Linked DNA regions of Macaca mulatta. The protein of the gene in region 3 purifies or fractionates together with the protein of the main gene of each other region. This does not show direct contact. Links are inferred from orthologs where the notes say so. Each region holds a gene or a part of one and is shown on either strand. Other genes may lie near its edges.

The links.
Region 1: the proteins of RAB6B (region 3) and SLC12A6 purify together in Homo sapiens (affinity purification with mass spectrometry; 4 studies listed by BioGRID and IntAct, with this or other methods). This does not show direct contact. The link is inferred for Macaca mulatta from reciprocal best matches to the Homo sapiens genes RAB6B and SLC12A6.
Region 2: the proteins of RAB6B (region 3) and SLC12A4 purify together in Homo sapiens (co-immunoprecipitation; 3 studies listed by BioGRID and IntAct, with this or other methods). This does not show direct contact. The link is inferred for Macaca mulatta from reciprocal best matches to the Homo sapiens genes RAB6B and SLC12A4.

What each region holds. Positions count from the first base shown.
Region 1 is NC_133412.1:11,449,131-11,452,779, reverse strand, and holds part of SLC12A6 (solute carrier family 12 member 6), read left to right. Parts: intron 1-162; coding exon 163-404; intron 405-3,080; coding exon 3,081-3,295; intron 3,296-3,649.
Region 2 is NC_133425.1:63,540,381-63,544,029, forward strand, and holds part of SLC12A4 (solute carrier family 12 member 4), read right to left. Parts: intron 2,834-3,649; exon of another isoform or gene 2,819-2,833; coding exon of another isoform or gene 2,722-2,818; intron 2,396-2,721; coding exon 2,252-2,395; intron 500-2,251; coding exon 368-499; intron 1-367. UniProt on the Homo sapiens protein: Mediates electroneutral potassium-chloride cotransport when activated by cell swelling. May contribute to cell volume homeostasis in single cells. May be involved in the regulation of basolateral Cl(-) exit in NaCl absorbing epithelia.
Region 3 is NC_133407.1:36,883,996-36,887,644, reverse strand, and holds part of RAB6B (ras-related protein Rab-6B), read left to right. Parts: intron 1-828; coding exon 829-940; intron 941-2,183; coding exon 2,184-2,277; intron 2,278-3,649. UniProt on the Homo sapiens protein: The small GTPases Rab are key regulators of intracellular membrane trafficking, from the formation of transport vesicles to their fusion with membranes. Rabs cycle between active GTP-bound and inactive GDP-bound states.

The DNA.
Region 1 (3,649 bases), on a different chromosome or scaffold from region 3:
ATTTCTGCAGGCATTTCAGATCCTATTAGAAACTAGGCTAACTCCCCAGTCATTTTGTCTCTCAGCTTTGCTTTCTTTTATGAAAGTAAATGCAAACGAATACAGCCTTTTTACTTAATTCTTTCTAAATAACATAATTTTCTCCTTTATTTTACCTAACAGGTCTATATCGTCCCCCGGGCTGCCATCTTTCGCAGTGATGATGCACTCAAGGAATCAGCAGCCATGCTAAATAACATGCGTGTCTATGGCACAGCTTTCTTGGTCCTTATGGTATTAGTGGTATTTATCGGCGTACGCTATGTGAACAAGTTTGCCTCACTTTTCCTGGCCTGTGTCATTGTGTCCATCTTGGCCATCTATGCTGGAGCCATCAAGTCTTCTTTTGCCCCTCCACACTTCCCGTACGTGTCTGTCTCTCTGCCTAGCCATCTTTGTTGGGTAGTAATTGAAAATATCTGGTGGTGTGATAATTTTAAGTCAGAATTTCATGGAGTCTCTCCGAGATTTTCCCTCTTGGATAAGCCCATTTAGAGTTCCTTCCCCATCTAGGCAGGAAGCCTCCCAGCAAACTATGTCCTGTTCATCCTCTTTCTTATGTCCCAAACATAGAACTAGTAACTGTAACCATAATTTATGTTCAGATATTAGATTTTTTTCTCCCTGATAATTGTACATAATCTTTTTTTAATTATACATATTTTGAACTATTCATAAAGGGCTTTGCAGACAGTGTAGTTATTGCCAGCAGCCTTTATAAGGTATTTAAATGTTGGATTTCTTTTACTAATGAAAAATCAGGGGAGTCAAAAGAAACCTAAAATCTTACCTAAAATGTTTAATTAATTAAATTTTTTTTTCTGTCAGTATTGTAATGGACTAGTCATAAAGGGAAATACTGTACAATTTGCATGCATCTCTCTATATATGTAATATTACATACTATAATACAGCTACTTTTTTCAACCTTGATTTTATTTTTTTTAATTTGTATAAACTTATGGGGGTACAGGTGTAATTTTGTTACATGCACATGTTGTGTATTGGTGAATTCAGGGCTTTTATTAAGAGTTGGAATCTCACTTTGTTGCCCAGGCTGGAGTGCAGTGGCATAATCTTGGCTCATTGCAACCTCAGCCTCCTGGGTTCAAGCAATTCTCCTGCCTCAGCTTCCCAATTAGCTGGAATTACAGGCATGTGCCACCACACCCAGTTCTTTTTTTTTTTTTTTTTTTTTTTTTTTGTGAGACAGTCTTGCTCTGTCACCCAGGCTGGAGTGCAGTGGTGCAATCTTGGCTCACACAACCTCTGCCTCCTGGGTTCAAGTGATTCTCCAGTCTCAGCCTCCCGAGTAGCTAGGACTACAAGCACACACCACCGTGTCCAGCTAATTTTTGAATTTTCGGTAGAGGTGAGGTTTCACCATGTTGGCCAGGCTGGTCCTGAACTCCTGATCTCAAGTGATCCGCCCACCTCGGCCTCCCAGAGTGCTGGGATTACAGGCGTGAGCCACTGCGCCCAGCCTAGGTCAGGGCTTTTATCCATTACCCAAATAATGTACTTTGTACCCATTAAGTACTCTCTCACCATTTACCTCCTCCTTCAACTCCCTAGTGCAAGTACTTTAAAGTATGTTTTTTGAAGTAGTAATGGATTTGTGCAGATCTGTGACTCACAGGCTCCCTTTTCCCTTTGACTAGTGGCATAGGGACTAGCTGGCACTGAGTGTTATTTGTAGTTTTGTTACAGAATTATCTTGAAGAGTCATCTGGATTATCTGAGGATCAAACTCATTGGTTCTATGTTGATTTAAACAGATTACAGAAAAAAAGATTTTTCAAGACAAAAAGACAGTTCCAATAGGTTTAATGACTTACCTCAAAGTTAATTAATGGCAGAGCAAGAAGATGAACTGTGATTTCCTGACTCCCCATTCAGTATTTCTTCTGTGCCACGCTACATGATGGCAGAAGAAGATTCCATCTTAAACTTTTAATCTGCTTATCTAGGGACTGTAATATAGCTGAAGGTCCTTTCTAGGGTCATACAATTTCTAAAGCTGACATTCTGGTTATATCTCAATTTGGGAAATTCCATTTTGTCTCAGGTTCACCTTTGGGACTTCTCCTCTTTTTTGATTAGTACACGGTCATAATGCATGGTATTTTCTTTGAGATATTCCAGCAAAACAAGACAAAAAATCTAGAATACATGAAACAAGACTGAGAAATGTTGAGAGTTGTTGAAGCTGAGTAATAGGTACATGGTTCATAATAATGTATTCAATCATTTTACAGATTTTAAAAGTCCCTTTGTTGGACCTGAGAGGTATTTTAACTATGGATGTATTATTCCTTTGTTTATATTTGTGTCTCTGGGTTAAAGAAAAAAATAAAACCAGCAGGTTAATATTTGTGTTATCCTTACCCTCACTCCCACTGGGTCTAGGCTTAAGTTCAAAAACAGTTTTCTCTTAGGCCATAGAGGGATCTGCCTTTTAATTCTGGCCAAGCTGTTTTCCTTGCAACAGTAGCCAGAAGATTCAACCTTTAGCATAACATTTTCAAGGGGTTTGTTAAGAATGTAAGGCTTTTCTAGGCCAAAAAAAGAGGAGTGCTTTTTTCTTTATAAGAACAACAAAAGAACTTCAGTATTCTTTTAGACCTAACAATTTTAGCCAAAAATTTTGGAAGATGAGTCAGCATAATGTCTTCAGACAGTTCTTCAATTTGAGTTCCTTCACTGCCACCTACCACCTATGACCTTGGACAGATAACTGTATTTCCCTAACCTTCAATTAACTCCCTAACTTCCTAAACTTCAGTGCTTCCATCCACAACATAGAAATTCTAATACATTGTGAGGTTGCTGTAAGGATTAAATTGGCAGAAAATGTAAGTCGCCATTCACAGTGCTAAAATAAATTATAAATAAATAAACATTAGTTCCCTTCCCACCCATGACAGTAGAAGCTCTTAAAGATGGGGTTCTTGTTTCCTTTACTAACCTGTTTCCTTTTTTTCTTTTGTAATGTGTTTTTTTCCCTTACTTGATCTTTCTCCCTATTTCTTTTCACTTAGGGTCTGCATGCTGGGTAACCGCACCCTTTCATCAAGACACATTGACGTTTGCTCTAAAACCAAGGAAAGTAACAACATGACAGTCCCATCAAAGTTATGGGGATTCTTCTGTAACTCGAGTCAATTTTTCAATGTCACCTGTGATGAATACTTTGTTCACAATAATGTCACTTCAATCCAGGGCATTCCTGGATTGGCTAGTGGTATCATTACAGGTAAGTTAGGGAGTTATTGGACAAGTTTTTTCCTATTTTCTGGGGAAAATAGGCCTTGTCATCTTAGATTCTTCTGCTGTCCATAAAGATTCACTGCCATGGTGCTAATTTCCTTAAGCATACCACACAGCTCTTAATTCAGCATATTTCTGCTTTTCCATTAGTAAAGCTGTCCTTATTCAGGACTCCTTTACAGAGTGATGTCTGCTAAAATTCACCTCCATTTCAGAGCAGAGTTGAGCAAATCACTTTCTAATCTTAGGATAAATTATTCTGTGCATTCTTGTAAAATTGCCAGTGTTCTTCCTGCACTGACAGAATAGAACTATTTTAATGTCCACATCCACATGTATC
Region 2 (3,649 bases), on a different chromosome or scaffold from region 3:
TTCCTCATCTGAAACATGGGGATTATAGTAGCACCTGCCTCTTGGTTTTGTTGAACAGATGACATGTGAGAACCCAGGCCCACTGCCTGGTGTGGTACCTCGCACACAGTAAAGGCTGAGTACAGGCAGCTGTGTCTCCCGCCGTCATTCCTGAGGGCCTCCCTGGCCCTCTGTCCCTGGGGAGATTCTCATTAGCTCACTTCTTAAAGCCTCCTGAGCCAAGGCACTCAGTGCCCATCCTCCCTGCTCACCATGGTTTGCACCCACTTCCCCTGGTGTGCTCACCACCATGTGGGGAAACAGCCAATTCCATGGTGCTGTGTCTGTCTTCCCAGGTGTGGCCCCTCTGCTGCCCCACTCAGCTCACCTCGGCTGCCCTCCGGCGGGTGCCCTCCCCACTCTCAGCCTCCTCATGCTCCTTGGCGCCCTGGGTGAGGTTGGTGTAGCTGACGAGCTTGCCCAGAAGAGACGATACCTTTGGGCGGATGTCCAGCTCTTCCTGTAAACAGAGCCACAGGGCAAGATGGCATTGGGCCAGGCGGGTACCAGCTGTGTGAAGCCAGCTGCCTGATCCCTGGCCCTGTTCCAAGCCCTGAGACAGGCCTGGGCCTGATCCCAGTTCCTGCCTGGGGAAGCCCAAGCCATCCAACTGGACAGGTGTGGACACCACACCCCAGGACGTGGCACTCAAAAGGCCCAGCCCCGCGGCTGCTTTTCTCTACCCCACCTTGGCTACAATCACTGCCAGCCCATTTGTGAAAACCACCTGCCTCAGGGGAGAGAGGGCAGGGAAGAACACGCCTGGCAGGCGGGCAATGGCACACTTCATCCTGCCTGCTCTGTGCAGCCACCTCCCAGCTATGGCTGCACCTCTAGGACTCACGCCTACCCTCCCCACAAAAAAGTCACCCTAGTCACCTCAGGGAACAAAAGAGGGCAAAAGAGTGATGTCTCGGACAAGTGAAGTCTCTCTTGTCTGCTCAAACCCTGATCTCCCTGGATGGTCTTCCCCTGACCCCAGTCCTGTGAGTACCCACGTCAATCACAGAGATGGGATCCTGACCCTCTCATCCTCAGGCGGGGCTGGGCCAAGGCCTTCACTGCAGAATCTTGCTGCTTTCCCAGGTCAGGAGGCCTCCCAGAGCTCAGGCTCCCCAGCCCCACCGGGGTCTAGGCGATGATCCCTGCTCCTGCAGCCTTCTCGATGCTGTGCCTCCACCTGCCTCCTGCCCACATTTAGCTTTTCCCTCTCTGTCAGCTCCCTTCTGACCTACACACAGGGAGAAGTTGCTTTGGTGTGAGAGGGGAAGATGAGGGCCCTTGGGGGCATGTGGAGATTGAGGAGCCTCAGCCGGATGTGGTGGCTGACAGTGATAATTCCAGCACTTTGGGAGGCCGAGCAGGAGGATCACTAAAGGTCAGGAGTTCAAGACAAGCCTGGCCAACAGGGTGAAACCCTGTCTCTAAAAATACAAAAATTCCCCAGGTGTGGTGGCAGGCGCCTGTAATCCCGGCTACTCGGGAGGCTGAGGCAGAAGAATCACTGAGCTTGGGAGGCAGAGCTTGCAATGAGCCAAGATCACGTCACTGCACTCCAGCCTGGGGCAACACAGTGAGATTCCATCTCAACGAAAAAAGAAAAAAAAAAAAGAGAGATTAAGGAGTCTCCATTATTCAGCCATACAATGGCTGAATGCGTGGGTCAGAGTTTAGGAGCTTAAACTACATTTTAAATCCAGATCTCACTGCTCAGCTTGAGTCTGAAGAAGATAAAACTCAAGTACAGAGGCAGATATTTGGGAATCTTTCCACAGAGGTATCCCCTAAAGCTGCAAATGGACCAGGACTCGGGAAACTAGAGGGAGACAGAGCTGGAAGAGCCAACCAAGAAGGACAAGAATCCTCGGGAGAGCGAAGAACTATGGACTTGGAGAAGAACCAGGAGTGGAGGGAAGAGGAGAAATCCTGAGTTGGGAAATCCTAAGCGGGCTTTTCCTTGCTGAGGGGTTGTAAGGAAGTCAGAGGTGAACAGTCCTGGAGGTAGCAATGGGGGTGGGGTTGTGAGTGGCCTCTGGGAAGGCAGTTTCAGTTGAAAGGGCCAAGGGAACTGCAGCCCGGCTGCCATGAGAGCCAGGAAGACAAGAGGAAATGAGAGGAAGAGCCAGACAGAGGAGGGCCACGTGTCCAGCCTGACTGCTTAGCTAAAGCCTCTGTCTGCCAAACCTGTGACCCAAAATGGCTCCTCAGCTACCTCAAACAGTGCCAGGTTCCTGTCATAGTAGTCACTTCCTCTGGAAGCCTCCAAGGGGGAAAGAAAAGGGCTGCTCTCTCTGTGGTTGCCATGTCCTGTGAAGAGAGAGGGACAATCAGGGCCTGCTTCCTGAGCCCCCCCAGCCTGTGCCCCTTCCCAGAAAGCCAGTCCCCAAAACATCGTTTCTGTGGAGCACTTTGGAGCTGCAGTGTCACCAGGTTGGAACTCAGTTTCCACATCGCACCATGACAATGCCCTTGAAGGGCCAGAGATAGCCAGAGAGTGGCCAGTGACCAAAACCTGGGACATCATTCCCTCCAGAGAAGGGAATCCAGGTGAGGGAGCAGGCACCCTAGCACAAGCACGTGTGGACACTGAGGGGCGGGGCCTGTTGGTGGGCGGGGCTAGCCTTTGACCCGCCCCCAGATCCCCTCCCCGCCCCAGTCCCTTTCCCAGCCTTTCTGGAGTACCCAATGTGCAGGATACCAAGGGCTCGGTGTCCTCAGGGACCGCCCAGGCAGTGCCCTCCAGATACACGAAGCCCCACAGAGCACCTTCGGCTGCCATGGCCCGAAGGTGGCTGGCTGGCTACCCCACTATGCACTGCGCGGCGGCATCCTGCAGGGCAGCCCAGGGCATGCCGGGAGGCGGGGCAAGCCCTAGGCCATGGAGAGCAGAAGTGGATGCCAGGAGCCTTCTAGAGTCGCCTAAGAAAGTCGGACCGGTGGGTGTCGGACTGAGCAGGGAGAAAAATGGGAGCCAGGACTACAGTGGACAAAGGCAGCCAGAGGTCAAGATAGTCCACCATGTCATATTAAAGCCAGGTGAGGTCATGTAGCTCTTTGGACACTCTATGATATCTGCTGTGCCCTCCATGCTTGTTCAGGATCAGGAGTCCCAAGAAAAATCTGAAAACCCAGTAACACTCTGCCCCTTACATTAATGACATTAATGGCCCTTTAGTGAAAAGCCTTTGAAAATTACTCTTGGATTTTTGTGACAAAAAAAGTGTCTCCCTTTGATAAATCAGATGCTTCATTTTGTCAGAAAATGGCAGCTATACAGCTCGTCTTACTGCTCTTTCTGCTTTGGCTGCCAGGAATCTCCAAGCTAAATTTACTCTTTAGATAAAGTCACCATCTGTCTCATCTCAGAGTCCTTGCCCCCTTCCTCTGCATGGTTTTCGATCTTCCTGAGAGTAACAATCACTTGGGGAGACTCTTTTGTTGGCTATTGCTTCTGATTCTTTTGTGGAAGTTGGCTGGAAATCAATTGTAATTTATTCTAAACTCACGTACTGCAGCCTGCCCCATCACTGTTGCCTAGTCTTTCTGGGGAGACTGTATTGCTATCCAGAAAACATATAGCTGGGCACACAGCAGCTCCCCCACAAATGCC
Region 3 (3,649 bases):
GCCCATAAGGGCCTGAGTTCACATGGCCTGAGGCGCATCAGAAGGGATACCAGGCTGTGTGAAACTGAGGCTTCTGAGGACAGCTGCCTCCCCTCCCCTTGGGTGTGCAGGCTGCGGAGTGGTGGGCTTTGCCTTAGAGCTGCTCTGCCCTGCAAGGCTTGTCATGGCAGCTGAGGGAGGTCAGGCTGCCAAGAAGTGGCCTTGTCTCTCCTGGATTTTTGACTGCACCTGGCTCCCCTGACTAGTCCTGGGGCCACCTTTCCCCTCCTCTCACCTGCAGAGCCTGAGGGTTCTCTTCAGAAATCCCTCTGGCCTTCCCCTAACTCTCCTGAGCTCCCCTGGTGGGGAGGCCACTCAGTAGGGTCCTTCCTTCCCTAGAGGCTTCTGTGTCCTCCTCTGCCCACCCCTCACTGTTTCCAAACTTGCCAAGTTGTGTGTGTGTGTGTGTGTGTGTGTATATGCACACACGTGTGACCCAGTTCTCACACTCCACTCTGAATCCCCAGAGTCAGGTCTGACTCTCAGGCGGGCCCCTAAAGCCACTATTTCATGTAGCAAATCATGACGCCATGATCTTCCAGATGGGGTGATTCCTCTCCCACAAAGGGCGGCTAAACAGTGCAGGCGGCTCCCAGGGCTGCAGGGCAGGGCCCGGTTCCCTCTGAAAGGCCCTACCCGGCTGATCTGTGTTGACTGAGCTCATACCCTCCCTGGGTATCTGAGGGCACATGCTCACCCTCCCTCCTGCTCCTGGCTCACACATCCCCTTCCCATCTCCTGCTGGTGGCTGGCCCTGGCTTTCAGTTTTTCCTCACTTTCTGCCTCCAGATCTCAACTCCTTCCAACAGACCTCTAAGTGGATCGACGACGTCAGGACAGAGAGGGGCAGTGATGTTATCATCATGCTGGTGGGCAACAAGACGGACCTGGCTGATAAGAGGTAGGTGCAAAGGGCACACAGGTGCAGGGTACCACCCTCCACTCCTCTCCAGCTGCTCCTGGACGGGGAGCTCTGGGATGCGTGGGTGGTGTGTCTGTGCTTCTGACCATGCATCCGGAAAAGGTCCCTTGAGACACTAGGAGCTTTGAGAACACCTGGTAGACTCTCACCCCTGGGTGTCTCATCTGTGAAGCCCTGTCTTCCACCACCAGGCAGGGGCGGGGCAATCCTCCGTGTGCTGTCTATACAGAGCCCTGTGCACCTGGCTTGGCCCAGCAGTGCATGGTCTAAGACCCTGCCATGGCCACAGCACTGCCCCAGACACAGCAGTTCCCTAAGCCCCAGTGTGTGTACTGTGAACTGTCTGTGCCTGTGAAGTGTCTGCACCAGTGTGCATGGGGGTGTGAACACCCTGGGCCCTAGGTGTGAGCATGCAGAGCATTCAGACCACAAACCTATAGCTGTAGCCTGCTTAGCCTGGTTTGTGGCTGCATCTGGCATGAAGCTTTCTCTGAAGAGTCTCCTCCATGCTGCCCTCCATGCACAGGGAGAACTGAGGTGCCATGTGTGTACGCTGTCCACTCGTTTCACGTGACCCTGACTTGGGCAGATAAAGTGACAGGCCATGGACTCCAGCAAGCAGTGCAGGCTTCCTCAGTGTCCCTTGAGCACCTGAGGAATCATCTGAATTAGAGCCTGCTTTACTAGAGTTCTGTCCTTAAAGTAAGGAAAACTGGGCTCAAATCCCAGTACAAAGGGCACCTAGGCCCTTCATACCCTCACCCACTTCTGCCTGCCCCATCATGGAGCCCTCTCTGCTAAGCAGCTTTGTGGCCCCGGGGGAGACACTTTTAGCATTAGTGTTCTCATACGGAAAATGCGACTAATAGCACCACCCAGAGTGGACTGTGTGGCTTGAATCTCTTCACAAGCACAAGCTCTGCAGTAATTACTACTGGGAAAGGCAGGCGTGGGGCATCCCTACCCCAGGGCCTGCTTTGAAGCTGAGAAGACACGAAGGAAGGAGTGGGGGAAGGGGATAGTGTCCTGCTTTTCCCTGGTGCTCGCTTTGTGCTAGAGACTATGGTTGGTGCCCAGGAGGGACCCCTGGGATCAGAGCCTGTCTTCAGGGCTGACCAAGGGCCTGGTGGGCTCCCTCTGCCATGCTGGGCGGGTCCCTCCTCATCTCTGCCAGGGGCTGCTCCTCTGCTGAACTGATTTCCCCCCTTCCCTTCATCTCTAGGCAGATAACCATCGAGGAGGGGGAGCAGCGCGCCAAAGAACTGAGCGTCATGTTCATTGAGACCAGCGCGAAGACTGGCTACAATGTGAAGCAGGTGAGGACACACCTGGCACCGGGCCTGGCACGGTGTGGTCCTGTGGTCAGCCTCAGGCTCAGACCTGCCTTGCCCTGAGGGGCTGGTGGCGGGGTTGGGGCAGCCAACCAGAACACCCATAGATGCGCCCAGGGCGGGGAGAGCTAATTTCTGGAGCTGGTAAAGCCCAAGAGAGGGAAGGAGCACTCCGGGCATGGCGACTGGAGAATGTAAGTCACCAGCCACCATAGCAGTGGCCAATCACAGCCCACGTAGCAGTCCCTAAGAGTGTCCAGCCACCAGCTTCCAGGTGGCTGAGGGAAGCAGTGGTTCCCTAGCCCCTCACCCCACTTCGGATGACGCATGCAGGAAAATTCAATCCGATCAGCATTTGGGGTTCATGCCTTGCACTTAGCAAGTGCTTAGGGCTGTGGAGGGCAACTCAGGCCTGGAGAAAAGAGCCCACCATGGTGTGGCTGGAACTCACAGGAGGGCGAGGCAGTGGAGTTAGGGCCGAGCCTTGCAGCATGAGGGCCCCTGAGTGGTCCATGGATGGAATTTAGCAGGTCAGCAGACAGGGCTGGAAAACATTGCACCTTTTATCTTCACTAACCACTAACCCATCCATAGCACTGAAGGATGTCTGTTTGTCCTGCAATGATTAATGTAGGCAATGACGCTCAGTCGTATTAGTGGTGCCTATGGCTTTACCACCAGTAGAAATCACAGATGCCTTCCCATCACCTCACAGTGTTGCAGATACCTTGAACTTTACATGCATCAGTGTTTCAGTGTCACAGTAGTTATTAGATCTCTTACTAGTTCTCACTGTTCAATGTGTTCATAAGGAAGCACGAATGTCGATGAGGTGTATTCCAGTACTCAGTAGTTCCCTTTATCATCCTATGTCATTGATTTCACATACTTCAAAGGAGTCCATGGGCTTCACCAGACTGCCAGAGTGGTCCTTGGCTCACGGAAAGGTTGAGAACTCCTGCCACTGGGGATGCGAATAGGACTTGGAGAGGTGGTGAGGAGGGAGGGCATGCCAAGCAGGGGAGCAGCACAGGTGTGGCTGCAGGGTGCCCGAGGTGTGGGGAGGGGACTCTGGATGAGGAGTGTGGTTGGCCTGGCGTTCGCTTCTGCCCTGCCCCCCGCATTGCTGGGAACCCTCGGCAAGCTGTGTATGCAGCACTGGCCTTTTGGATGCAGTGATGGTTTGCCCTGTGCGAACAGTGCTGGTGGCAATGGGGAGGGTGGGCTGGCAGAGCGACAAGAAGAGACAGAGTGGAAGGGACACTGTGTGACACTGGGGGCCCCAAAGCTCCAGGACTCAGTACCCCACCCTAACTGGAGTGCCCTCAGCAGGGCTCCACTCACTCCCATCTGTTCC